7 linked regions of the Rattus norvegicus genome follow. The protein of the gene in region 3 purifies or fractionates together with the protein of the main gene of each other region. This does not show direct contact. Links are inferred from orthologs where the notes say so. Each region holds a gene or a part of one and is shown on either strand. Other genes may lie near its edges. The genes, in order: Hnrnpc, Zmym3, Chd4, Top1, Nolc1, Bcl11b and Top2a.

The links.
Region 1: the proteins of Chd4 (region 3) and Hnrnpc purify together in Homo sapiens (affinity purification with western blotting; 3 studies listed by BioGRID, with this or other methods). This does not show direct contact. The link is inferred for Rattus norvegicus from reciprocal best matches to the Homo sapiens genes CHD4 and HNRNPC.
Region 2: the proteins of Chd4 (region 3) and Zmym3 purify together in Homo sapiens (affinity purification with mass spectrometry; 3 studies listed by BioGRID, with this or other methods). This does not show direct contact. The link is inferred for Rattus norvegicus from reciprocal best matches to the Homo sapiens genes CHD4 and ZMYM3.
Region 4: the proteins of Chd4 (region 3) and Top1 purify together in Homo sapiens (affinity purification with mass spectrometry; 3 studies listed by BioGRID and IntAct, with this or other methods). This does not show direct contact. The link is inferred for Rattus norvegicus from reciprocal best matches to the Homo sapiens genes CHD4 and TOP1.
Region 5: the proteins of Chd4 (region 3) and Nolc1 purify together in Homo sapiens (affinity purification with mass spectrometry, with the first as the bait; 3 studies listed by BioGRID). This does not show direct contact. The link is inferred for Rattus norvegicus from reciprocal best matches to the Homo sapiens genes CHD4 and NOLC1.
Region 6: the proteins of Chd4 (region 3) and Bcl11b purify together in Homo sapiens (affinity purification with mass spectrometry; 4 studies listed by BioGRID and IntAct, with this or other methods). This does not show direct contact. The link is inferred for Rattus norvegicus from reciprocal best matches to the Homo sapiens genes CHD4 and BCL11B.
Region 7: the proteins of Chd4 (region 3) and Top2a purify together in Homo sapiens (affinity purification with mass spectrometry; 3 studies listed by BioGRID and IntAct, with this or other methods). This does not show direct contact. The link is inferred for Rattus norvegicus from reciprocal best matches to the Homo sapiens genes CHD4 and TOP2A.

What each region holds. Positions count from the first base shown.
Region 1 is NC_086033.1:27,279,916-27,284,106, forward strand, and holds the start of Hnrnpc (heterogeneous nuclear ribonucleoprotein C), read right to left. Parts: upstream 2,801-4,191; 5' UTR 2,647-2,800; intron 2,063-2,646; exon of another isoform or gene 2,026-2,062; intron 1-2,025. UniProt on the Homo sapiens protein: Binds pre-mRNA and nucleates the assembly of 40S hnRNP particles. Interacts with poly-U tracts in the 3'-UTR or 5'-UTR of mRNA and modulates the stability and the level of translation of bound mRNA molecules. Single HNRNPC tetramers bind 230-240 nucleotides.
Region 2 is NC_086039.1:70,568,073-70,571,147, reverse strand, and holds the end of Zmym3 (zinc finger MYM-type protein 3), read left to right. Parts: intron 1-931; coding exon 932-1,046; intron 1,047-1,153; coding exon 1,154-1,346; 3' UTR 1,347-2,575; downstream 2,576-3,075. UniProt on the Homo sapiens protein: Plays a role in the regulation of cell morphology and cytoskeletal organization.
Region 3 is NC_086022.1:159,598,318-159,601,817, forward strand, and holds part of Chd4 (chromodomain-helicase-DNA-binding protein 4), read left to right. Parts: exon of another isoform or gene 1-146; coding exon 147-288; exon of another isoform or gene 289-373; coding exon 374-505; exon of another isoform or gene 506-613; coding exon 614-731; exon of another isoform or gene 732-3,500. UniProt on the Homo sapiens protein: ATP-dependent chromatin-remodeling factor that binds and distorts nucleosomal DNA. Acts as a component of the histone deacetylase NuRD complex which participates in the remodeling of chromatin.
Region 4 is NC_086021.1:169,772,195-169,775,694, forward strand, and holds part of Top1 (DNA topoisomerase 1), read left to right. Parts: intron 1-610; coding exon 611-732; intron 733-1,610; coding exon 1,611-1,733; intron 1,734-3,500. UniProt on the Homo sapiens protein: Releases the supercoiling and torsional tension of DNA introduced during the DNA replication and transcription by transiently cleaving and rejoining one strand of the DNA duplex.
Region 5 is NC_086019.1:254,868,923-254,873,158, forward strand, and holds the start of Nolc1 (nucleolar and coiled-body phosphoprotein 1), read left to right. Parts: upstream 1-1,436; 5' UTR 1,437-1,488; coding exon 1,489-1,608; intron 1,609-4,236. UniProt on the Homo sapiens protein: Nucleolar protein that acts as a regulator of RNA polymerase I by connecting RNA polymerase I with enzymes responsible for ribosomal processing and modification.
Region 6 is NC_086024.1:132,688,303-132,692,587, forward strand, and holds the start of Bcl11b (B-cell lymphoma/leukemia 11B), read right to left. Parts: upstream 2,801-4,285; coding exon 2,743-2,800; intron 1-2,742. UniProt on the Homo sapiens protein: Key regulator of both differentiation and survival of T-lymphocytes during thymocyte development in mammals.
Region 7 is NC_086028.1:84,456,094-84,459,593, forward strand, and holds part of Top2a (DNA topoisomerase 2-alpha), read right to left. Parts: intron 3,491-3,500; coding exon 3,385-3,490; intron 3,300-3,384; coding exon 3,190-3,299; intron 2,518-3,189; coding exon 2,425-2,517; intron 806-2,424; coding exon 691-805; intron 591-690; coding exon 469-590; intron 20-468; coding exon 1-19. UniProt on the Homo sapiens protein: Key decatenating enzyme that alters DNA topology by binding to two double-stranded DNA molecules, generating a double-stranded break in one of the strands, passing the intact strand through the broken strand, and religating the broken strand.

The sequences.
Region 1 (4,191 bases), on a different chromosome or scaffold from region 3:
CTACTTTCAGCAATGACTAGGGTTAAATGAGAACTCAAAATTTCCATATAAAGTAGTAGTTTAGCTTGTTTTATATCTCAAAACAAATCCAGAAGTCTAATTTACTGGATACTTACATAGTTTTACACAGCCAAGATTTTTCAATTGTAGTTTCCCTAGTTAGTAACTTCCACTCATCATCTATAAGACTGTAACGAACTATTTAGGAATATATTCCTTACTTGCTTGAACAGCCATGCCCATTTATAACAAGATCACAAGCCAATAAATCTAGAGATCAAATTGCAAACATGTTATAATTACTCTACAGAAAAAATAGTAACCATTACCAACCATTTTGGAAAATGGCTTGACCATGGCAAATGAGAGATCCAAACCTTGCAATTTTAACAGCTTCCTCCCAAGTCAAATCAAAAATGTAATTTGAGTCTGGCCTCAAAACTCCAAGAAATCCACATGTTCTACCAGAACAAGGTGCCTACCAAGCCTGGCCTACATTTATAACACTTAATGGCAAGTATACATCAACTACTACCAGTAACCTTGCATAACTTCTGACATTTATAATACTTTCTCTTACCTAGTTTTCACTGTTCACCAGGCAAAACCCTGTACTCTATCTACTTTTTAAAGGCACATGCCTTTAATCCCATCTCTTACTTAGGCGGAGGCAGGTGGATCAGAGTTCAAGGCCAGCCTAATCAAGACAGTGGGTTCAGAAAAGCCAGGCCTATTGCACAGAGAAACCAAACAAAAAATGTGGGAGGCTGTTTTTTTTTCCTTTGTCTGCATTTGTTCTTCTTTAGACAGTCTTAATACTCCAAGCTGGACCAAGGATGGCCTTGAACTCTTCCTACCTCTATCCCCCAAGTGCTCAAATTACAAGAGTAGGCCATGCACATTCCATGAAGTATGCTTAAGAGTAAAATGTGTGTATAGTTTAAACTAAGATTAGTAGCATATTTTTGTCACTTAATCAAACCCATTGTTTTCTGTATAGCCCTGGCTGTCCTAGAATTACTAGATTTACTCTACATTCAGATCTCCTGCCTTCCTAGTGCTGAGATTAAAAACTGTGCCAGAGTGAAATACCAATTTTATAATAAGTTTATCTAATGAAATAACTCCCAGGTAAGTTAATGTGACACAAAAACCCTTTATTAGTATGGGAGATTGAATCCTGGGCATCTTGAATCCTAAGCACTATCACTAGCTATATTTAAAAGAACTCGGACGGAGGAGATGGCTCAGGGGTTAAGAGCACTGACTGCTCTTCCAGAGGTCCTGAGTTCAATTCCCAGCAACCACATGGTGGCTCACAACCATCAGTAATAAGAGATCTGATGCCCTCTTCTGGTGTGTCTGAAGACAGCAACAGTGTACTTATATAGAATAAATAAATCTAAAAAAAAAAAAAAAAAGAACTCAACACCTACAAGAGAGCAACTACTTTAATTTTTAAACATGTTTTACTATGTAGTCCTGGGCTGCCTTGCAATGGGATCTTGCTCAGGATCTTCCTGTCTCTGAACCTCCAGAATGCAAACATTCCGGGCCTGCACTACCATAACTAGCTGTAAACTGCTTTTTTTCCATTCTAGATGGGTAGGATTAATACTGGAGTATCTGTAAACTATTTCTGTGCCTTTTAATTATTGTTCCCAAGTCCAGATTGAAAATGTCCTGTAAATTTCGGTATCAGGTTCCTCTAAAAAGAAAAACTCATTCCCACCCCACCCCCCTTTTTGAGACAGGGCTTCTCTGTGTAGCCCGAGCTGTCCTGGAACTCTCTCTCTGTGACCAGGCTGGCCCACAACTCAGAGAGATCTGCCTGTCTCTGCCTCCCAAGTGGTGGGAGGCATTTGGCGTGCACTGTCACCACCTACCGGCTAAGTCTCTTCTTGTGTATAGTCTATTCTAGTAACTTGACCTGCCTAGAAATATCTTAGTTTCTCTACTACTGATTTAGTCCGGTCCTGTCAACCACTTTTAAGTCTCACTTCTCTCTAGGACAGCAGTACCTACCTCAAGCAAAGTTCCACTAACTTATGTGATTTGTAACCTGCAGATAAAAAGCTGTAATTATTCCAATTACAATTTACCTTGGGCACTTCCCTTTACAAACCAAAAGCACTCCCGACTTTTACCCATCTATCCCTTGAAGAAAAAAGTAATCACTACTTAATCTATTGTTAAAACGCCGTTCAGATGCCATGTGGCCGGCCTGGAATTTAGAAGCTTCCAGTACTACACCACCATGTTATCGCTCCCCCACCCACGCCCGACATTTAGCTTAGAAGACAATAACGGAGTAAGAGATTCACTACAATTACATTAACAAGCATTTCGTTCTTCGCTTTCTTGCTCCCCTGCTCCCCCTTGGAATCCTAATGGGGGAAGGAAATGAAAGTAGCCGTTAAACACCAGCGCGCAAAGAGGGTATTTTCGTACGCACCGTGGCCTAGAGGTCACTAGGTTGAACCTGCGCCAAGGCCGAGGCCTGTTGCCTCCCGCCTTAGACCCAATCCCCAACGCACAGGAACAAACGCGGCCTCGGTTTCTGCCGCGAGGCCGTTTTCTCGCCTACAACCCCCTCGCGGGGCCCAGCAACCCAGGGCCTCCCCTGCCCTCGCCCTCTCCGCTTACCAAGAGGAAGGAGAGAGAGAGAAGAGCCTGCCTCTCCTACTGCGGGTCTACGCCGAGAAGCCGGAGCTACAACAGCAAGGAACCACACGACCGTTCGCTCTCCGTCTCTTCACAAAATGGCCCCCGAGCTCCTCTGCCGCCGAGGCAAAAGTCCAGCCCCCGCCCCGCTCCCGGAGGCGTTTCTATTGGCTGTGACTTTTCTCGCTCCCGCTCCTAATTAGATAGCGTTACCGCTCCTCACAATTCCGTCCAATCATCACACGAGGTGGGTTGGGCTAATTGGGAGAATTTCCACATGCGTAACAAAAGCTACTTAGTAATTGGTTAAGCTTTCTATCACTTAGTGTCTGACGGATGGTTATTGGTCACTGTACCAGACGGAAAGCTGGGTGGAATTTTCGCCTTTGTATCGCGCACAGCTTCTCATCCGGGTATCCGGCGGACCTGACTGACGGCCGTGTCGTCCTATCAGTGCTTCCTAGAGATCCTAGGTCCGGCCAGATCACCGCATTTCCGCGGCACGGAGGTGGGAAAGCCTGGGTGGAGTCTGGTAGCGGGTGCAAAGGGCCTGCCCTAGCCTCAGGCCTTGGAAAAAAAGGGAAGTGCAAACAAGCTTTAGAGAAGGGAGGATCGTAATCCCTAGGCCGCCTGAAGTGTTAAAAACTAAACAGGTCTGCAGTTATTTTCAAATTCAGATCCCCTCTCATTGCCAGATTCTATAAGCTATTGGAAGGACGTGGCCTTGTCAGTGAACAGCTCCCTCCAAACCAACTGGTTTCCATAGTTCTCTCCTATAAGAGCAATTGCCTAGACCCCTATAAACCCGTTTCCTGGGCCCAAGTCGTCACACAATCTGCAAAACCAATGGCCAGCCGCCTCAGTTTCCCACTTCCTGCAATAGCTTGATACTACTTAACCCCCTCAGCTCGGCCAGTAAAGCTCTGGTTACACTGTAGAAACATTAAACAGGCCAAAAATGTATATAGCCTACTGAGAAAGGGAAAGAGTACCCCAGGAAATTTCCTGATTTAAAAATAAAAAATAATCTTTTAGGTCTTCTTTAGACCTTTAAACCTTTGACATTTTCAAAGGATTTATTTTAAATGTTCCAGTCCAGCGAGTTTATGTGTTCCCAATTTTATTTTATTTTTTTTTTCTTTAAAGAAAGGTTTGGGCTAGGCGGTATTTCTAGTGCAAGGCCAGTCTACTCAAGTTTCAGGACAGCTAGGGCTGTATAGTGAAACTCTCTGTCGAAAAAACAATAAATATAAGTACCTAGGTAGAGGTAGGTAGGTAGACAGACAAATGGGAAGCCCTTCATGGCTAGGCTTGCGGGCCATTGAACCCCAGGTTCCTTCTGTTTTCACTTCCCTGGTGTTAGGAACAAACACGCAATGATCTCCTCTGACAGAGCTCCTAAGCACAGGCAAAGCAGTTCTGTAAAGAAGTTGGCTTTGGTGAGGGAGGTGCACCTGAATCCAAACCAGAGTAGCAAGCAGGAAGTTCGCTTTGGTTTTTTTGCTACTTATTTAGTCAGGGTCAGAC
Region 2 (3,075 bases), on a different chromosome or scaffold from region 3:
AACCCTACATATCAAGGACTGGAAACATGGCTCTGTCTGTAAAACACATCCAAGCCATAGAGCCATGAGCACCTGAGTTTGGATCCCTAGCAGTCAAGTGAACCTGGGCATGGTGGCCTATGTCTATAACCTAGAGCTAGAGCAGGCAGGGTGGAGATGGGCAGCTTCCCTAGAGCTCATCACCATCACCAGCTAGGTGAGCTCCAGGCTCAGGGACAGACTGTCTCAGCATAATGTAGAGCGGATAGAAGAAGGCACCAAATGTCGACCTCTGGCTTCCACATGTGCACACGTACAACACAAACACAAACTCACACATGCACACAAAGATAACAATCAAATAAAAACTGTACAGAGGAAGAAAAAGAAACTACATTTTGGTTTCCATTCTCTATGGTCCCTTCTGTGGGCCTCTGTCTAACCTGATGTACAAAGGTAGTGGCCATCATTTTTAATCTGACCTAGACGGCAAGCCCAACCTTCTAACAATCTGTTTTACCAATTATTTTGTCTGCCTTCTGAGATCACCTCTTTAAAATATCACCTTGGGAATGAGTGTAAACACTTTAGCAGGAAGAACTGGGGAGGGCTGCAGCGGAATACACAAATAGGATGTTGGGTTAGTATGGAAAGGCTAACACATTCTTCTGCTCTCCCTCCCTCCCTCCCTCCCTCCCTCCCTCCCTCCCTCCCTCTCTCCCTTTGTTGTTTCTTTTGTAACAATGGAAGCAGAACCCAGAGCCTTGTCTATGCCAGGCAACCTCTCTTCCACCTAGCTACACCCCCAGCCCTTCGTTACTCTCCTTTTATTTCTTTATGGAGCTGTTTTTGGTGATTCTGCGGCCTTATCTCAGTGTCCTTGATCGTGCTCTGGGTGGTGGCTCCTTGGGCCCATGTTCTACTGAGTCTGGGTCATTTCTCCCCACTATAGACACAGGTCCTGGGAAACGAAAGAGAGAAGATGAAACTATCTTAGAGCAGCGTGAGAATCGCATGAATCCCCTCCGCTGCCCCGTCAAGTTCTATGAGTTCTATCTCTCAAAATGGTGAGTTGGTGACTGTATAAGAGTGACTTCCCATGGAGACTGAAGAGGCCCGCTTTGCCTTGCTACTACTGATGTCTGTCTTCCCATCTCCATCCCCACTGTTCTAGTCCTGAAAGCCTCCGGACTCGAAACGACGTGTTCTATTTGCAACCCGAGCGCTCCTGCATTGCTGAGTCACCTCTCTGGTACTCTGTGATTCCCATGGACCGAAGCATGTTGGAGAGCATGCTCAATCGCATTCTGGCTGTGCGGGAGATTTATGAGGAACTTGGTCGTCCTGGGGAAGAAGACCTAGACTGAACCCACGTGGTACCTTGTATCCATCTATCACATCCGTGTCTGTCCTGTGGGGTAACTGGCCCAGGAACCAATGCTATCCATTCTGAAGGGCCTTGACTGGCTCCTTCTTTTCTCTCATTCCCTGCCTTTCCCAGGAACCCCTGCCTTTAACCTTCTTTCATACCACTTGATAATCATGGGGCCCCAGTGTACTCAGGGGCTAGTCCCCCAGTGATGGACGTGAACCAGGTAGCCTGTTTTGTTTATGTAAACCCTTTCTGCTGGGGCCTGACTCTGATGGAGTGATGATAGCTCTGGTGATCCTGTTGGCTTTGGGTTTCCTGACTGCATCTATCTAGGTGAAGCCTTGTGCTACTAGGTCTGACCTAGGGAAGAACCCAGCTGCCTTCTCTGCCCTGTATCCTCTCTCTCTCCTCTTCCCCTGTACCATGTGAAAGGTCTGAGAGGTCTGAAAGTGAGGGACCATTTACCTAAAGCACAGAGCTCAGACACTCTGATCCCTCCTAAAAGAAGTGATTGTTGGCACTCTTCACTACCATGTCCCTTACCCGACCGTTGGAGCACCACTTGTTGGTGCTACAGTTTCTCAAGAGTTCCAAATGCTTTCTTTTCCCCAAAGGCAGAGAATGACTCAGTATGGGGAGCAGACTCCAATTGTGCAGATGATTCCTGTCCCCTTGGTTTATGTGTTTGTCCCTCTCAGCCATCTTAGGATGGCATGAACCATGGTGTCAACATGCTTAGCCCCTCTGTAACTGCCTCCCTTTAGTTCTATGAACAGAGCTCCCAAGGCAAAAATGACCTTCTCACTTGGATTGGGGCTGGGTTCCCCGATGTTCTACCCCTATCATCAGAGCCAGGCCCACCCTATGGGTCCTAGGCCATCCAGGATGGGGTTTGTGGTCAAAAGATAGGTGAGGAGCTGTGGGCCAGGGTCCTGTCCTACTGCCTACGTCTTCTCTTCCCCATCTTACCTTTGTGGGCCCAGAAAAGTTAGTGTCTGGCAGAGGGAGCACCCAGTTCTTTCCCTGTTGGCTTTGCTGTTCCCTAGCCTTCTTTTTGGTGTTTTTATAACTGTCATCAGTTTAGCCACTGTTAAAATGTATATATTGTACTGAGGTGCCTGGCCTGTTCCTTCAGTGAGCCATGCCTACCCTTGTGTTGTAGTGAGAAACTGTTGTCACAACTAACTTGTCTCTGGAATTGTTTCAAATAAAGAGTTAAAATTGTTCTTTGTTTTCTCTGGGGGAGGGAGAGCTGGCTTTGTAGAGTGGAAGACAAGAAAAAGAAGACTAACTGTGGATCCTTGAAGATTACTCTGACCTTGTCCAATGAATATCAGAAAGTTGGTCCTTTTGTCATACATTTTCAGATACATCAGAAAAAATATTTTTCAATAGCCCTTTATTGAGCTGGAGTTGCTTATGTCTATAATCCCAGAAGTTGGGAGGTAGAGGCAGGAAGACTAGGAATTTAGTCATCCTTGGCTACATGTGGAGTTCAAAGCCAACCTAGGCTATGTGAAACCCTGCCACAAAATGGGGATGGTCTGGAGATGTAATTCAGTGGTAGAATATTTGCTCAGCATGCACAAACTCCTAGATCCAATCTTTAGCAACACATAAAACTAAGGACAAGTCTGTTATCCCAGCATTCTCTCAAGGTCATCTTTAGCTACATTGAGACAGGCTACATGAGACTGTCTCAGCAACAACATCAAAAACAAAAA
Region 3 (3,500 bases):
GTGTCTAACACAAGGATGGTGTGGCAGTTGCCTGTTAGCTCAGCCCCACAGTGAGGAGTGTTGGAAAGATGATCGCAGGCTGTTGGGTTGCATCATTAGTCATTCAGAGACTCTTCGTCCGACCGGTCCTTGTCCTGTTCATGTAGGAAGTACTACAAGTACATTCTCACTCGGAATTTTGAGGCACTTAATGCTCGAGGCGGTGGCAACCAGGTTTCTCTGCTGAATGTGGTGATGGATCTTAAGAAGTGCTGCAACCACCCGTACCTCTTCCCTGTGGCAGCAATGGTAGGTGTGCTTCCTTGGCTCCTGTGCCTTGCCACGTCTCCTTGTGGGTCTCCTTCCATGTTTCTTCCTTTATTTCTGTCACCAGGAGGCCCCTAAGATGCCCAATGGTATGTACGACGGCAGTGCCCTGATCAGAGCATCTGGGAAATTGTTGCTGCTACAGAAGATGCTTAAGAACCTGAAAGAGGGAGGCCATCGTGTGCTCATCTTCTCCCAGGTACGTGGGCCCATCCTGAACTTTACAGACAGCAGTGGGACAGCCCTAGTGACTGAGGAAAGGGATTATCATCTGACAGCTCTGTAATTAAGTGGTTCCTTTTTCCAGATGACCAAGATGTTGGACTTGCTAGAGGATTTTTTAGAACACGAAGGTTATAAATATGAACGTATTGATGGTGGAATCACTGGGAACATGCGTCAGGAGGCCATTGATCGCTTCAATGGTAAGAGAAGAGTGTCTTATCTCCAGGCAGTCAGTTCGTTAACATTAATAAGCTGGGCATGGTGTGTACATAACCTTTAATCCCAGCACTCAGGAGGCAGAGGCATGCAGATCTGAGTTCAAGGCCAGCCTGGTCACCTACAGAGAGAGTTCAGGACAGCCTCAGCTGCTTCTGTCTCAAAACAAAAATGTCATTATTTCGTGTGTGTGTGCCTAGGTACTACTGTAATTATCTCATGTGTGTGCCTAGGTACTATAGTTACAGAGGGCTGTGAGCTACCGTGTGGCTGTTGGGAATTGAACCCAGTTTTATATCCATCCTCTCTGGCCTGGAACTCTCTGTAGACCAGCCTGGACTCAGACACATAGAGATGGACCTTCCTTTAGACGGAGTTATTTGCCCCTGCCCAGCTCTGATCATTTTCCTCTATTTTTTTAAAAGTGTGCATACATGCATGCGAGCTTGCATCTGCATACATGTGCACCATGGCACAGATGTGCGAGTCACAGGAAAACACAGAGTTGGTTCTCTGTGAATCCTGAGGCCTGAGCAGAGATTACCTAGACACCTTTACCTGCCGAACAGCCTCATCAGCCCCACTGGTTTTGTTTTTAAGACTTGATTTTGTTTTGTGTCTGGATGTTTTGCCTGCACGTGAGTGTGCGCCATATGTGTGTGGTGCCTGTAGGGGCCAGAAGAGAGCATTGGGTCCATTGTAGCTGGAGGTCCAGCTGGTGGTGAGTCACCCTGTGGGTGCTAGGAATGAACCCCAGCCTCTGGAAGAGCAGCCAGTGCTCCTAACTGCCGAGCTATGTCCAGCACCTCCATCCCTCCAGAAGCCCAGCTCTTGTTCTTTTGGGTCTTGGTTGACTGACAGGGAGGAGGAAAGCTTTTGAACAAGTAATGGAATAGCTTTAAGAGGTTTTTCTTAACTTCTACCCTTTGGAGTCTTTGGTCTTTTTGCTTAAGCGGGGATGGGGTGGGGGAAGTTCTTTTGGTTCTTTTTTTTTTTTTTTCCGGAGCTGGGGACCGAACCCAGGGCCTTGCGCTTCCTAGGTAAGCGCTCTACCACTGAGCTAAATCCCCAGCCCGGGGTGGGGGAAGTTCTTTAACCCTGGTTATACCCTATGGCTGAAAGGAAGAACAGATTAGTTTTGGTTATAAGTTTTTTTTTACATATGTTTATGTGCCTACTTGTCTCTGTGTATACCATGTTTATACAGGTGCCCGAAGTGGCCCGAAACTTAGAGGCTGCTCTTAGCACCTGTCAGACAGAGGCACTAGGAACCGAACTTAGAATCCTCTGCCAGAGTGCGAGTGCTCTTTATCTGTCTCTACCCCCAGGGGCTCAACTACACCTTTCCCCAACCTTTCATTTTAGTTAGTTATTTTTGTTGGTTTTTTTCTGAGATAAGTTCTTTGTAGTAGTTATCCTTGTTGTTTAAAATGTGTTTGGACTTAAAAGTTTAAAACAATCCAGCGTTAACCTGCCTCTGTCAGTGCCCTTCCCAGGCCCCGGTGGCTCAGGCCTGTGTTCTCAGGCCCTGAGTGGTACAGTAGGAGGGTCGAGATTGCGGTGAGGCTGGGAAGAGCACTGGCTCAATTCCAGAGGACTCAATTTCCCAGCACCTACATGACCGCTCACAACCATTTATAACTCCAGGTCCAGGGAATCCGACATCCTTTAATGGCCTCCCAGTCAGTGCACATACACTGTGAGCAGACATACTGCAGGCGAACACACACATAAAATAAAGTAAGGATCTAAGGAGTAACTCACGGACGCATGAGACCTGTCTGGGGAAAAAGGCAGGGGCAGTGAGGGCCAGCAGGGAAAGTCACATGTCACCCAGCTCGTTTATCAGATCCCTCTCCTACGTGTGAAAGTTCTTGCCAGAAGCCCTCTGACAACACGTATGTACGCATGCACGTATGTGCAATACACAGAATAAGCAAAAAGGCCAGTGAGGTGATTGAGTATGGAAGGTGCATCCTGGCTTACTTACTTCCCTGCGTTTCTACGTCCTGGAGTCACAGTGGCAGGAGAAGACTGGCTCTGTCCTCTGACTTCGTGTGTGTGCTGGCAGGCCTACTCTCACGTACTGACGCATGAATCAGGGAGCTGTCTGGGGATGAGTGCTCACCAACATTGCGTGAGGTCTTGGATTCAGTCCCCAGCACCGCTAAGAGTGGTGACACAGCTGTGACCTCAGCAATGGGGAAGGACGGACAGGAAGTTCAGATTACCCTGGCTATCTAGACCAATCTGGTCTAGATGAGACCATGTCTCAAAAACAAAACAAACAACAAAAACTCAGTAAAGTAAGTTATGTAACTGTGGTACAGCTTCTAACAGTAGAAAATGAATAACATTGGATCCCATTGTCACCTGAACTGTAGACCCTAACTGAATGTTGCTAGTTTTCCCTTAATGTCCTTTTCAGTTGAGGATCCAATCCCAGGTCCCACCAATAGGTCCAAGTAGATTCCACTCTTTATACTTACAGTTGGACAAAACGCTCCTGACATTTCACCCCTAGTGAAATGTCATTCCTGGCATTGGTACTTCAGACTTAGTCAGTTATTTCAAGCAGTGTCTCTTTCTTGAAAGATGCTTGCCAGGAATGCCACAGTGGGATATTGCACGTGATGTCTGCATTTGTCCTTTCTGCTGATTATTGGTTACTTGGTCCTAGGCACGGTGTCTGCTAAAATTATCTACTGTAAAGTTTCTTTTTCTCACTGAAATTCATACATATTTTGAGGGCA
Region 4 (3,500 bases), on a different chromosome or scaffold from region 3:
TTGTGATGCTTTTGGTCTGTGAACTACTTGAATAGTAAGGTTCTAGAGGAAGGTCTTACTTAGGCTTTTTATGTGGGAAAAATCTGGGCTTGCCTGCTATGAATATATATTTTTATTCATATTCCACCCACGTAACTTTGAAGAAGAAAGATGCCTATTTCTTTTCCCTACAATTCCTTTCTTCCACTCCCTGCCCCTATCCTTTCCTCCCCTTCCTGAACAGAGGCTGCTTAGCTTAGCAGTGGCAGGAGTCCTTCTGAGGATTTGATTTTTAAAAACCATTGAAGAGGTGTAAAGGACCCTGCTTGCTGAAAGGAAAAGGAAGAGTGGCTGGGCCTTCCCCAGGTCATCCCTGTCCTGAGCAGGCACCTGGGAACAATTAACTGGCATAGTCTCCAAAAAAAGACCCAGGTAAATATCTACTAAGAGAAGGAGAAATTTTATAAGTAGATATATAACAGTTTGTTACTCTGTTGTTGTTATAACTGTGTGTCAGCAGACCTTTGTACACCTTGGAAAGGTAAGCAATCAGTAATGACTTCTCCAGTAGTCAGTGCACATATAATAAGAGTTTTGTGCCTCACTGTTTGGAACCATTTTCTTCCTTTAGGTAAAGTTATGAAGCTGAGTCCCAAAGCAGAAGAAGTAGCTACATTCTTTGCAAAAATGCTTGACCATGAATATACTACTAAGGAAATATTCAGGAAAAATTTCTTTAAAGACTGGAGAAAGGTATTGTGGCCCATGTGTTCATATCTTATAGTTCACAAAAGTGCTGACTGGGAAGTGTAGCCCATTTGTTAATGCCTTAACAGTTTATTTTAAAAAACCACAAAACATAGTTTAACTATATCTTTTGTCCATTACTATTTTAAATGGGTTTTGTCCAACAAGAATATATCTCAGCATTCATGTGACTGCAGGAAGGAGTTTATCAGATTGGGTTAAACAGAAAACCTCAATTCCAGTTGAGCAAAGGAAACAGCATTGTTTCTGCAGGGATTGTCTTCTGATGCCTTTGCACAGGATTAGTCTGACCACCCATTCTGTCTTCATCCATGGTGACTTACCCATACCATGTTAGCCTATATAAAAATATCATTGTTCTCCATTTGGATAATTGTGAATAAAGGCTGAATTAAAATTCATCATCTAAGGCATTTATTCTAAAGTCAGACTTAATAAGAGCAGAATAAGTTGTTCTGCATGGGAATAAGAAAGCGTTTCTCTTTATTGCTAAAGTAATTGGTTAATACATGTCTCTCTCTTTTTTCTTTTTTTTTTTTTTTCTTCTTTTTTTCGGAGATGGGAACCGAACCCAGGGCCTTGCGCTAAATCTCCAACCCCAATACATGTCTCTTGAGTTGGTGTTTTGTCAAAGATTCCCAAAGAAATGAGAGTAATTTTTCTCTTTGATAAACCACTAAAATGTACTTATATTAAAAGTATACACCTTATAACAGAATAACCCCTCTTCCCAGAAGAAGGGTCACTGAGGTTGGCTTCCCTTCTAGATAACCTTTGATTAAAGGAAAAAAGATTTAATTGTGAAGAAATAGGAAGACTTATTATATTTACATTTTTTTTTTTTTACCTTTTCACTCAACTAGGAAATGACTAATGATGAAAAAAATACGATTACCAACCTAAGCAAATGCGACTTTACACAGATGAGCCAGTACTTCAAAGCTCAATCAGAAGCTCGGAAACAGATGAGCAAGGAAGAAAAATTGGTATGATAGAAATCGTGGGCAGTGATTCTTTGTCTAATTTTTTGGTTCCTGTGACACGACATTGAATTCATTAATTTTATATTTTTCTGTTAAAGATTTACTTGGTAAAGTCTAATTACATGTATGAGTTGTGTTAACTGGTAGCTCTCTGTGTTGGTACATGTCTGAAATCTCAGTATCCAGGCCTGAGGCAAGAGAATTATTGCCAATTATGTTCCATTCTGTGATGGAAGCAAGAACTGTGATGTCTCCACAGAATAAGCAAAGACGCTGCACTAGACTTTTCAAGTCCAGTCTAGCTGTGGTTCAAGTCTAGTCTAGCTGTAGTTTAAGTCTAGTCTAGCTGTAGTTTAAGTCTAGTCTAGCTGTAGTTTTGAATCAAATCACTGAGATTTGGCCTATTCACGTTTTGAACGTTTCTTATTTTAATTGTATGTGCATGTATGCATATAAGTGTGGAGACCAGAAGATAACTGATGATCTGGAACTGTTCCGTGTGGTTTTGTGCTACCCAGCATTGGTGCTAGGAATTGCTCTAATCATAGAGTCATTTCTACAGCACCATTGATTTTAAACATAAAGATCATTTTGGACTCCTGTAATACTAGTCCAAGTAACAAAAAGCTTTTAGAAACATTGCCTGTGTAAGCCACTGACAAGGGTACCTGTGGCCAGTAAGTTAAGCAGGACTTGGTTATTGAATCACTGTGATGTTGCACTCTTGTAATCCCAGAACTAGAAAGAGCTAAGCAGGAGGATCAAGAGTTTGAGGATAGCAAGGCCCTGTCTAAAAGCTAAAATAATAATAATAAGAAAGGCAAGGTTCAGGAGAACCCTCACACACGAATCACCATGTATAGGATAGAGGAGAATGGTTAGAATGAGGAGGCTGAACTCCCACATATACCATACCTTTGTGGATTAAGAATCATGTAATATAAAGTGTGGGTTAGAGATTTAACTCAGTAGGAGAATGATTGCCTGGCAAACATGCAGCCCTGGGTTTGCTTCATCTCAGAAAACAAACAAAAAACTTGAAACCACATACCCAATAAAGTATTTGAGACAGGTTCCTTGGGGACTTTAAACCCCATGGGAAATGCTGTTAAGTGGCTCTGACAGTGATCTTTTAGGAAATAATGAAATGGTATGACAATTTGTGATAATAGGTAAGTGTTCTATAATTTCCCTTCATCCCCAGTCCCTAGCATGAGTTTTTATTTTTAATTAAAATTTGGTTATAAAGAACTATGATGGTTTGTATATGCTTGGCCCAGCCAGTGGCACTATTAGAAGTTGGTGCCTTGTTGGAACGGGTGTGTCACTGTGGGTGTGGGCTTTAAAACCCTTATCCTAGCTGCCCGGAAGTCAGTATTCTGCTAGCAGCCTTCAAATGAAGCTGTAGAACTCTGAGCTCCTTCTAGATGTTGCCGTGCCCTCACCTTTGTGATAATGGACTAAAGCTCTGAACCTGTAAGCCAGCCCCAATTCAATATTGCCCTTGTAAGAGTTGCCTTAGTCATGGTGTCTATTCACAGCAGTAAAACCCTAACTTAGGTAAAGAAAAGAAACCAAAACAACAACAAAACACGAACACCACACACTAAAATTAGCCAGACCCAAATTTAAGCTTTACCTCTCAATGAAACAGAATAGTGAGTCTGAAGGTGTGCATTAAATTTTACACTTTCACTGTCAAGTGTATGTTTTATGCACTTATCTTCTACCACAAAACAAACCGAAACAAAAATCCATGAGAGTTGACAC
Region 5 (4,236 bases), on a different chromosome or scaffold from region 3:
CCTGCCAGCCCTGGGGCTACTGGTGGGAGGGAGCCACTGCACCCTGCTTGTACAGCCTTGTCATGTATCTGAACACTCAGGTATTTATGGGTTAACATTTACACCAATCCCTTTCTGGGTTCTGTAGAGTTGTTCAGACTGGACTGAAACCCCAGTTCTCCTGCCTACTCTCTTACAGTGACAGCCTGTGCATGGAGATATTTTAGAATACAGACACTTGTGGGATGGAGAAGATACAGTTTTGGGGTTGGTTTTTTTTTTTTTTTTTTTTTTGTTGTTGTTGTTGTTTGTCTTCTGAAGCCAGGGTTTTTCTGTATAAACCTGACTATCCTGGATCTCACTCAAGGGATAACTGCTTCTGCCTTCAAAGTGTTGGGATTATAGTATTTCAAACTCAAAAGAACTCCTCTTCCTCCTCCTTTGCCCCACCCTCCTCTCCCTCTCTCCTCAGATCTACCTACTTTTGTCTCTCAACCCTGGGTTTCAAGGCATTTGCCACCAAGCCTATGAGAATAAAAGTTTTCTCAACTGGGGTTTGTGTCTATTAAGTGTTTCAGGTAAGCTCACCAATTTAATTTGATCACCGTCCTGGCGCGTGGATTTTTTTAAAAAAATTAATATGGATGGATGGATAGAAGCACCTCCTCTGGGAAATAGGATAACATTTCTTTTTAGAAGGAGCGACTGTTTTGAGGAAAGTAAAAGGTGTTCACAGGAAGTGCATCTTTATTGTTTCGTGAGGGATAACTAATGTGACCTGGAAAATAGCTGATAGTGGAGTTTTCAGAATTCAGTGTGACTTCTGACTTAAGGAAGAAAGGGTTATTGAGTCCCTTGATCTTTTCTCTGGAATGAACCCGTGCTCTCCTCCCCCTTTTCGAGTTGTGTATGGTTGGGATAACAGTCTTTAAACCTAGCTGTGACTGACAGTCAATGTGGGATACTAACACCTTTGTCACCACAACTTTTAGGATTGCCTTATGATTTGAGTCTCACTGGGTGTGAAGGATGTGAAGAAGTCATTGTTGGTGGGAGCTTGAGCAGTAGACGACACCTCTAGAAAGGTGAAAGAGACTCGAGTTCTCCATTCCTTTGATTATCGTGGGGTCTGAATAGCAGCCGGGGCTTGGAAACTACGTTTCTATAGATAGAAGTCCATTCAGCAGAGATAATGCGCGGGAAGTTGCAAGTTTTCCCGCCTCGGACGGGAGCGTGACCTCTGACGTAAAGCTCCGCCTCCTTGGGGGGGAAGGCTAGTGGGCTCCGCCCTTTACAGGATGACGACGCGTGTGAGACCGGAAGGAACTTATAGATTTCGCATGCGTCCTGCCTCCGGGGCGGAGGGAGCCCTGCCTCGTGGGGGCCATTCTTCCGCTGCGCGCCGCGCGACGTGATGACGACACTGGGCCCGCCCTCTACCCTGGCTGTGCTCTGGAGTTCTTCAGTCGTACCGCGTGCGCAACGGTAGTGACGCGTTTAACCCGGAGTATGGCGGATACCGGCTTGCGCCGCGTGGTTCCCAGCGACCTTTATCCCCTTGTGCTCGGCTTTCTGCGAGATAACCAGCTCTCAGAGGTGGCCAGTAAATTTGCAAAAGCGACAGGCGCTGTGAGTCCTTGGTTTGGTTTGCGGGCCGGGGTGGGACGACTCTCCAAGGTAGTCTAGGCCTTGTCAGGTTTAGAAGTCAAGAAATCGAGGTCTGGGGTCTGTCAGTCTAATGTCTGTGAAGCCTCTCTGCCGACCTTTCTGAGGCTTAAGGTCTCGGCATCTCTTTCCATCACGTCTGACTAGCTCCGAATCTTACGGCTTTTGGTGAGTTTTGCAGTGGTGGCAGGCATGGGTCCCTCGTGACCTAGGACATGTGGCGATAGATCCCTCCCGGAGCATTGGTTTGGCGGTGCCTGCTTCTGCTGTACTTTTTGTTGGACTTACACTTGGTTGCAGTTTTACCTGAGACTCAAAGATAAATTGTTACTAGTGAAGGCTAGGATCCTATTTATTTATACACTTTAAAAAATGAGTGAGTGCAGGGATAAACTGCGTAGCAATGAAAACTAGGATATCATTATTTATTTAGTTACTTAATGAATGAGTGCAGGGATAGGCTGCTTTCAGTATACCATAGAAAGCGTGAGCATCTTTCCCTGTCAAGTTGGCACTGGGCTTGGAGCTTCAGGTAGTGATATAAAGCAAATGGAGGCTTAGGCCAGATCCACCACTTTCTACATTGATGATCCTGGGCATCCTTTTATTTAAAACAAAGTTCAACCCTTTATATTGTGTATAAAAGTCCTTGTAGAGTGGAAGATGGATGTAAACTTCTGTCCCTCTTGCCTCAGCCTCCTCATCCTAAGCATGCCTGAACATAGCAGGATGCCATTTTGGTTTTTGTTGTCAAGACAAGAGTTTCTCTTTGTGTAGCCTTGGCTGTCTTGCAACTCACTTTGTAGACCAGATTGTCCTTGAACTCAGCTCTCACTCTGCCTACCAAAAGCAGGGATAAAAAGGTGTGCTCAGCCCTATTTACAGCTTTTGAGTGAATGAGATTCACCAAGCGAAAAATACACAAGCCAGTAATCTCATTGTAGACACACAGGGACCATGGGATGAGTGACAGCTATTGTGTCACTTCAAATCCATGTAAGAGCAAAATTAAGTGAAGGAATGTGAAATGTCTCGTCTGCATCTTAAGAAAAGCTGTAGTGTTCATGGAAACACCTTGAAAGACTGTGTAGACTTACGGTCTTTTTTTTTTCAGGGTGATAGCATAACTGACAATTTAGGTTTCTTCTGCTTTATTTCTATTTCTATTTTCTATGTCTCATCGTGTAACCCTGGCTAGCCTGGAACTCATATGCAGAGTAGACTGGCCTCCCAGAGATGCCCCTGCCTCTGATTCCTCAGCGTTGGAATTAAAGGCTGCACCATCATAACTGCCTGGTCCCCTCCTGTTTCTGTGGCCATTTTTGACCTGGCCTTGGCCTTATGATCTTCCTGCCTTAGATCCTGGGAATCTTGGGTTACAGGCCACCAGACCACATAAGAGAGTTCTTTGAGCCAGGGCAGCCTGGCATGTGATCTGATGATACATGCCCACCTGTTCCTGAATGGTCTTAGCCGATGGACCTTCTTCCAGTGCCCCTTACTCCTCCCCGCCCTTCCTTCTTTTTTTCCTTTTTTTCGGAGCTGGGGACCGAACCCAGGCTAGGCAAGTGGTCTACCACTGAGCTAAATCCCCAACCCCCCCACCCTTCCTTCTTAAGACATGGGGTCTCAATATATAGTTATGGCTGTCCTGGGGCTCACTGTGTAGACTTAAACTCATCTCTACTTGTCTCTCCTTCCCACATGCTAGAATTTAAGGCATATGCCACCACACCTGGAACCTTTGTTTGCTTATGTATTCTCTCATGCACGTTGGTGGTTTGCCTGCATGTAAATGTGTGTGATGTGTTAGATTCTGGAGTTCAGACAGTAGAGAGCTACCATGTGGGTGCTGGGAATTGAGCCAATTCTCCAGCCCCGCCTTTCTGACTTTTTTTTTTTTCCTTTCTGACTTTTAAAAGTCAATTGTTTAGGAAAAAAGTTAATAGTTAGAAAATATGAAGCCACAGGTGTCAGGATTGCGTGGATCTGGAGTTAACAGATGTGGGCGCTGGTAAAAGTGTGGATGGAAAGGCATAGGAATAGCTATGCTATAAAGTTTTCATGTTCAGTGTTAGGTGATATGTAAGTGGAATATTTTTCTCCTAATTTATACAAGTAGGAAAAGTCTTAAGATGTAACATCCATTTCAAATTGAGTAGGTAGTTAAAATAACTTTTTTTTTTTTTTTTGGTTCTTTTTTTCGGAGCTGGGGACCGAACCCAGGGCCTTGCGCTTCCTAGGTAAGCGCTCTACCACTGAGCTAAATCCCCAGCCCCTTAAAATAACTTTTTAAAAAAGATTTATTATATATAAATACACTGTAGCTGTCTTCAGACACACCAGAACAGAGCATGAGATCTTATTACACATGGTTGTGAGCCACCATGTGGTTGCTGGGATTTGAACTCAGGACCTCTTAACCACTGAGCCATCTCTCCAGCCAGTAAAACAACTTTTGAGACAAGGTCTCTTTACATAACCCTGGTGTCCTGGAACTCTGTATATAGTCCTCTTGGGCCTTGGCCTCACAGATCTGCCAGTCTGTCTTCCAAGTGCTGGGACCATGCCAGGCTGACAAATTACATTGAT
Region 6 (4,285 bases), on a different chromosome or scaffold from region 3:
GTCCTTTTCCTACCCATCCTGCCTACAGTAACCTTAACACACTAGGAAGAAGCCCTTCCCCTACTCCCGACACATACACCAAGATCATGGATGCTATTTTGGGGCCTTTCTGGTTTCCTGGACTATCAGTGATTCGAAGTTGCATCATCACCGAAGAACCTTAAGCTACTGCCCCACAGGCCCAAGGCTGCCACCCAACTGAAAAAAAAAAAAAAAAAAAAAAAAAAAAAAAAAAAAAAAAAAAAAAAACCGATCGGCCACGTCTTAGATGGTTTCCTTCAGATCTAAAATCTCACATGGGAGTGAGTGTCTGTAGGGGCTGAGACAACACCTGCTCGGCTGCCCAGGCCTTTTGCAATCAGAGCTCCTGTATCCCATGCTTCATAACTAGTCACAATCCCCAGGCTACACTGTATCTCCTGCATCCCGGTCTTGCTACCTCTGGGGTGATACTGCACGGACAGAAAAGCCAGCTGCTTTTCTGAACACCTTTTGAACCGCTCTCCCTGCTTAACCCCCTGAAACAATGCCCAGGCTCCCAGGGTCCCCAGAAGGCAGGTAGAACTGCTCAGCAGCCTGGCCTGCTGCCCCCTTTTCTCTCCAGCACTCTTGCCTTCTCTGCCTCTGCAGAAGCATCAGCTGGCTTTTCCCAGCTGCTCAGAGCAAGGGTGAGACAGAGAACCAAATGCATGGAAGGATGTCACATGAAGCACCCCTCACCCCCAGGCCCAGCTGCCACCGGTCCCTCTGGTCAGAGCTTGCTCAGGATGTCCCAGGGATGCCCAGAGAAGGACAGCAAATCTATCTGCCTTTCCCCTAATACTGCAAATGACCCAGTGTCAGGGGCTACCAGCTTCTCCCCTTCCCACAGACCCCCCCCCTCAAAAACAATTCTTGCAATTATACAGGGGATGGGGGTGGCAGCAAACTGCCTCTTGGACAAATTAGGGTCTGGAAGTGTGGATGTTTTAACAACCACTTCACCTAAAGGTAGGAAGTGGACTGTAAAATAACCCATGGCTGCAGCATGCTAAAGGAAGAAAATAAATGTCAAGTGGTCAAAAGGATCTTGATGAGACCAGGCTCAAATTTGGCTGCAAAACATTTTGTTTTAAATGCAACCAGCAAGTCTCCTTTGACATTACAACATTGAAAAAAATAAAGGAAACTTCCCTTCCCTTCTACCCGTAAGAGACATCCCTCTCCCAAGAACCTCACTTTAATATATATGCCCCCCGAGATAATAATAATAATAATAATAATAATAATAATAATAATAATAAACGCACGAATTCTTACTAACGTGTCTGCGGTAACAAAGGAGAGATGGGAACAGCAATAGCTTCGAGCAGATGGCTCCTGTGCTGGGTTGGAGGGGAGGGGAGAGCCCCTTTATATATTTATTTATTTATTTAAATTCTTTAAAATATAACATAAATATTCGGCTCTCGACTGCAGGGCAGTCAGTCCTCAGCGGCGGCCCGTCATTCACAGGCTTCTCCAGCTCCAGCGCGGGGAGCCCGGCCCCAACGCAGTGAGGTGAGCGAAGAATTGCAAGATTACAACCTGCCTGAGGTCTCGATGGCACCCAGAGGAAATTTTATTTCTATTGCAATAAAAAAAATAATAAATAAAAAGCAACCGCAACCAAAAGAGAAAAAAAAAAAACCCGCGGGGAGAGACTCGCGCTGGCTGCGGCCAGGGCGTCCCAGAGCTCTGCAAGCCGACCTCGCTGGTGGCAGCGCCGGGACCCGGCGGGTTCCGGGAGAACTGTGTACCTGCGCGGCTCGCGCTGGCGTTTTCTTTTCTAAACGAACCCAGCTGGGGCGTTGGAAGCCGCTGAGTGTCTGCCCTGCTGCCTGACTTTGCCAGCCCCGCCACTTGCTTGAAATCCGGCGGATTTGCACTGCGACCTGCCTTGTTTATTTAGATGGGGAAGATGAAAGATACAGAGATAGAGAGATGGATAAGAGGATGATAGGTATTTTCTCCCCTTCCTTTTTTTTTTCTCCTCTTCATTTTTACTGTTACAAGAGCATCCCTCTTTTCCCACTCATGACTCTTTTTTTTAACTCGTGGCGGGGATTTTTTTTCACCAACCCAAAACCTCCCCCCACACCTTTTTTTTTTTTTTGAGTTGGGGGGGAAAGAAGACAAGACCGTCCCAGGAGACGGAGGTGGGGAAATGAGGAGGGGGTGCTCCAGCCCAGCAAACAGCTGCGCAGCTGGATTCTTTTGCAAATAGCGAGAGGAGGGGAGGGGACGGCGGCTTCGGAATCCTAGCAGCGGCGCGGTCGGCGCCCTGCCTGGCGGGGCGCAGCGACCGGGAACCCGAAGCCCGCGGCTACCCCTTTACCCTGCGGGTCCTCGGGTCCAGGGCTCACTCGGGGCTCCGTCCGCCCGCTTCTCCGAGCGCGGACCCACGCGCTCGCCAACTTTTCCCGGTTCCCCCTCCCCCTCCGCTCCCCGGCCCCCTCCCCCTCCTCTCCAAACCCCGCCACCAGCGCCGCCGCCGCCACACACGCCGCTTGGAGGGCCGAGCGTCCAGCCGGGCTCGGCGCGCACAGCCGCCTGCAAGCCCGCGCACCCCCTCCCCGGCCCGGAGCCCGCGGCGGCTGCCCCCGGCTGCAGAGAAACTTTCCCAGAGCCCCACGCTCGGCCTCTGAGCCCGGTTTGGTGTCCCCAGCCCCGGGCGCCCGGAGCCCCAGCCGCCGGCCCCTCGCGCGTGCGGCGGACACTTACGCGTGATGAGTTCCCTCTGGGACAAGTGCTGCGGGTTGCCCTGTTTGCGGCGGGACATTGCCCCGGCATCTATTCTGGCATCGCCCGGAAAGCTGCACAGATGCGGGCCGGGGAGGGGGTCTGAGCCGCCGCCGCCGCCGCCGCGCCTCCTCCTCCGCCCGGGTTGGTGCCTCTGCCCTTCCTCTCTTCCTCCTCTTCTTCTTCTTCTTCGTCTTTATTTTGCTTTTTCTTCTGGGCTGTGTTTTTGTTTTTGTTTTTGCAAAAAGAAAAAAGAAAAAGCCAGGAAGATGGCTTGCTCTAAAATAGAGAAAGGCTAAAATAAATTATAAAGCTGCTGTTGCTCGCCGCGGGCTGGCCGGTTTCTTTAAAAATATATTCTTTTGGAGGAAAAATATCTCTCACACTTCTTCAAAGTGCTTGGCCTCTTAGACTTGTAAATGTCTTCTTGAAGTTACGCCGGGTTTTGCACCGGCCTCTGACACTTTTCTTTCGGGGTCTGGTAGGTGGAACGCGCACTTCCACCCAAGGGGAGGGGGGAGGAAAAATGCAAACAAATTTCAAAAAAGCAAAAAAAAAAAAAAAGGCAAAGAAAACTTGGGGACTTGTCTCGTACCCCCTCACCCCGCCCCCTCAAAAAACCCGAAAGCAATGAAAAACTGCCTTGGTTCGGTTCTTTCTGGGTTTTCTGCGCGCTGCCTGCTTTTTTTCTTTCTCGGAGGCTGACCCCTCCGAGGCTCTGGGGGACTCCGGGAGCGGCTCCTTCCCGGGTCACCTGGCAGGCTGGCGCCGGCCGGAGGGGCTGCGGGTCCCCGCGTGCGCTCCCCAGCGCTGCCCGGCGCCGCCGGCCCAGGGGGAGCGGGACTGCGGGGCGGCTCGCCCAATGCGCCCGGGTCGGTGCGGGCGTGGACGGGAGCTATAGATTGCAACGTGAAGATGGCGGAGTCCGGGTTCTCCGGGAGCTCTCGGTCTCTCTGTGGCTGGGGCTGCCTCTGTACAATGGGATAAAATTCAAGTTCAAGTGCGGACGTGACGTTTAATCTGCTCTAGAGACAAAAAGACCCAGAGAGTCGGAGCACTGGGGGCGACTAGCGGTGGCTTTTTAACATTGTACCCTGTAAGAGAACAAGAAAGCACACACCGAGACACGCGCGCGCGCACTCACACACACTCGCCAGTGCGCACACCCGCAACCCAGGCCGGCCACACGTGCAAACTACTGTTTTTGTGAGCTGGTCTTATCACCGAGCACCGGCTTCGCAAAAGTGGGGGTGGGGGGGAGTAAATAAAATAAAATCTTGTCCCCACTCACTCTTCCTCCCCCGGGAGCCGGACTCCCTGAGAAAGGGGGCGGAGTGCTGTGTGAGTAACTGAGGTACACTGAGTCCAAGTAAGTCTAAACCCACCCACTCAAGAAGGAGGGCTGGAAATCGGGGGGGGGGGGGAGACTGAGGCGACAGATACAATTGTTTTACTTCACTCCCTGGAAAAGTAGTTACAGTTGGTTTTACTTATTTGGGAAGGGGGGTATTTTATAGAAACTTCC
Region 7 (3,500 bases), on a different chromosome or scaffold from region 3:
TGGTCATCATCAGCGACATCTGTGGAGGGAAAAGAACAATCACTGCTCTGATCCAAAGAGGGACACAAACCTGTGTCTGTGTACGTCTTCACTACTTCAACTAAGTCATGCAGTCTTCTAAGGTTGTGAGGGTTAGATGTTTAGTGATCTTTTCAAGATGAATAGATGGCAGAAAGGGCACAAAACATAAGACTTCAAGGTGTCTAAACTTTTACATCACACAAGAATACTAAATCTTACTAAAAACCTATGAACATAACTTGGCAGACAAATATCCTAGTGGAATGTTATTTCTAGAAATAGAACTGTTGGTCAGAGGGTAATCATATTTTAGTTTTGAAAGGTTTTATAAGCTGTTCTCTACTATGGACAGAGAGAGAGCATCGTACACTTGTACCAAATGTGTTTCAAGGATAACTTTCAATTATTCCTGCTCAAGGCATGGTGGAAATGTTAAAGTGCATTTACCTCACCATGGTGATAAGAGGACATTTCTGCCACTGACCCAGCTAACTGGGCAACTTTCACCTCTCGCTTGTCATTCCGTTTGAAACAAGTAAACAAAACCTTTCTCTGACCTGGTTTCAAACCTTTAAAATGAAAGAACAATCATTAGCATTTTCAATTTAGTAATTTCTGGGCATAAATCACCATTTCATGGTAAAAACAGACTAACCCACTGGCACTTACCATCTACCATAGATGGGATAGATCTTTCATTATCAGAGTTTGAAAAGAGGATAAGTTCCTTGTTAATGAAATCATTATAGGTCAGGTACATAGTGGTTTGTCCATACAAATAATCCTAAGGGACCAAAGACAGCATTAAAGGGTCTGCTTGGAAATAAACTACTGGTCTTACCAACACTTAGTACAACACTAAAAACACTCAGAACTATCACTTCTTCACTCCTTAAAACACCCTAAGTGAGCTGGCAAAAGACCATTGAAGACCGCAGTGTTCTGCAGCAGGGACAACTGCAGTAGGTGGTCTGAGGTCTTCTCCAGACCTGCCTGTTTAGCTAGCTGTCCATAATTTTGTTTTTCTTTCATTAGAGACTAGAATCCCTGTAACCACATATTTTCTTCCTTCTTCATTTGATGTTTGAGCATTCTTGACAACTCCTTTTCAAAATGCTGGCAGGATTTGTTAGAACTTAGTTTAAATCCTGCCTGTACAGAAGTGAATTCCTCCAGAAAATACTCAAAACACCAAGCATAAACTGAGAGAAGCCATCTAAGTTGATGCTTCCTTCTGTCTTTTTGTAATTGAGAACATTCTGTCTTTAAAATATCTCCTGTGTTTCTGTCTTAATTGATTTGGATTCTATTCAGTATATTGCATGAATTAATTTCATTTGTCCATTTATACTGTACATATTCTTCATTGCAATAATAAATATTCCACAATTAAAACGAAAACAAAACCAATAGGTGAGCCAGAAAGTGGTGGCACACACCTTTAATCCCAGTGCTTGGGAGGCAGAGGGCAGGTAGAAAGATCTCTTCTCTGTGAGTTCAAGGGCAGCCTGATCTACAGAGCAAGTTTTACAACAGCCGAGGACAAACAGAGAAAAACAAAGAGACAAATAATCACAAAAGGAAAACAACAGGTAGATGATGTTGCTGCTGTCTAACACCGCGGTGTGTAAAACACTGAAGCTCTTTTGTAGGGGAAGTGGAGTGTTACTAAGAATTAAACTCAAGGCCCAGGCAAGCACTCGATCTCAGCTGTAGCTCCAGCCCTTTAATTTTTTTTTTTTAACTTTACTTATTCTCTAGCCCAGCCTGACCTGGCTGCTTGTCATATAAATACTTCATATTACACACAAGAGCACACACTTGCAGGTGCCTGACCACATGGTAACTGTTTATAGCAGCATCAGCATAAACGTGTGAAAAATGTCTTGCCTCTTAACTTCAAGACATTTAAGGAGGTGGTCTTGCCTATGATTCAAATACTGGCAGGAGGATCTGTGTGAATTCAAAGCCAGCCTGGTCTACAAAGCAAATTCCAGGCCAGCCAGGCCTACTCAGAGAAACCCTGTCTGAAAAAAAAAAACAAAAAACAAAAAAAACAAAAAAACAAAAACCAAAAAAATCGGAGTTGGGGATTTAGCTCAGTGGTAGAGCGCTTGCCTAGCAAGCGCAAGGCCCTGGGTTCGGTCCCCAGCTCAGAAAAAAAAACAAAAACAAAAACAAAACAAAAACCAAAAAAAAAACCAAAAAAATCCAAACAAACAAAGAACTCCCAACACCCGAACTTTTTCAATGCCGTCATAAGCTCATAGGACCAGTGTTATATACTATAGTTATTACAAATTTTATACTGAAACTACTGCTTAGTAATATTAACTTGGTGTAACACCAATTCTAAAGTCAATTAAAATAGCATACTTTATGGGATATATTTAAAGCTCTTACCTCAGGAAGGCCAAGTAACTTCCGCTGTCTTCTATCTTCCATGAAATTAGTTAACCATTCCTTTCGATCATCGACCTGTTTTTTACTAAAGGCCTATAAATTAGAAGGTAGAAAAGATGTCACTGGTACTTACTGGTTCCATTTTTTTTTAATTAATTTATTTATATGAGTCACTGTCACTGTACACTGTCGCTGTCCTCAGACACACCAGAAGAGGGCATCGGATCTCATTACAGATGGTTGTGAGCCACCATGTGGTTGCTGGGAATTGAACTCAGGACCTCTGGAAGAGCAGCCAGCGCTCTAAACCACTGGGCCATCTCAGCAGCCCGGTCCCATCTTTTTTATACAACAGAAACATCAAAGGTCCCATTTTCTAAGGTATCTAGTTCTGTCACTCAGATATGCTTACAAAAATCACTTTTTTTAAACATGTATTTATTTATCATGTATACATCATACAGCTTTCTGCCTGCATGTACACCGCAGGCCAGAAGAGGGCACCAGACCTGATTACAGATGGTTATGAGCCACCATGTGGTTGCTGGGAATTGAACTCAGGACCTCTGGCAGAGCAGTCAGTGCTCTTAACCTCTGAGCCATCTCTCCAGCCCTCAAAAAAGTTTTATTTCATAAAAAACTCTTCTAGGGTTAACTGCTAAAATTGAGCACAAACCCTCTTCTGGGAGCTAAGCGCTGTAACTGAGCACACTGATAGTGACTCCTGGAGGCAGAATGGACAGGGACAGTCTGACTCCAACTCACCAGGCTGATCGCAGCATCGTCTTCAGGGCCAGAGTATTTGAACTGAATACGATGTCGTTTCATATTTGCAAAATACTCCTTAGCTTCCTTTGATGTGCTCGTGCCCAAACCTACAGAGACAAACAAAACAGGTCAGTTCCCCATGTAGCCCTACAGAACAAAACTGAGAATTTCTACGTAGGTTTCATCACAAACCTTTGTAGTACTTGACTTTCCATTTTTTGTGATTTGGATTTGCACTCTTCCATTCTTCAAACTCGGGAAGACTGTAGAATGCTATTTCTTGCTTGTTTTTAGACACCTGTGGTAAA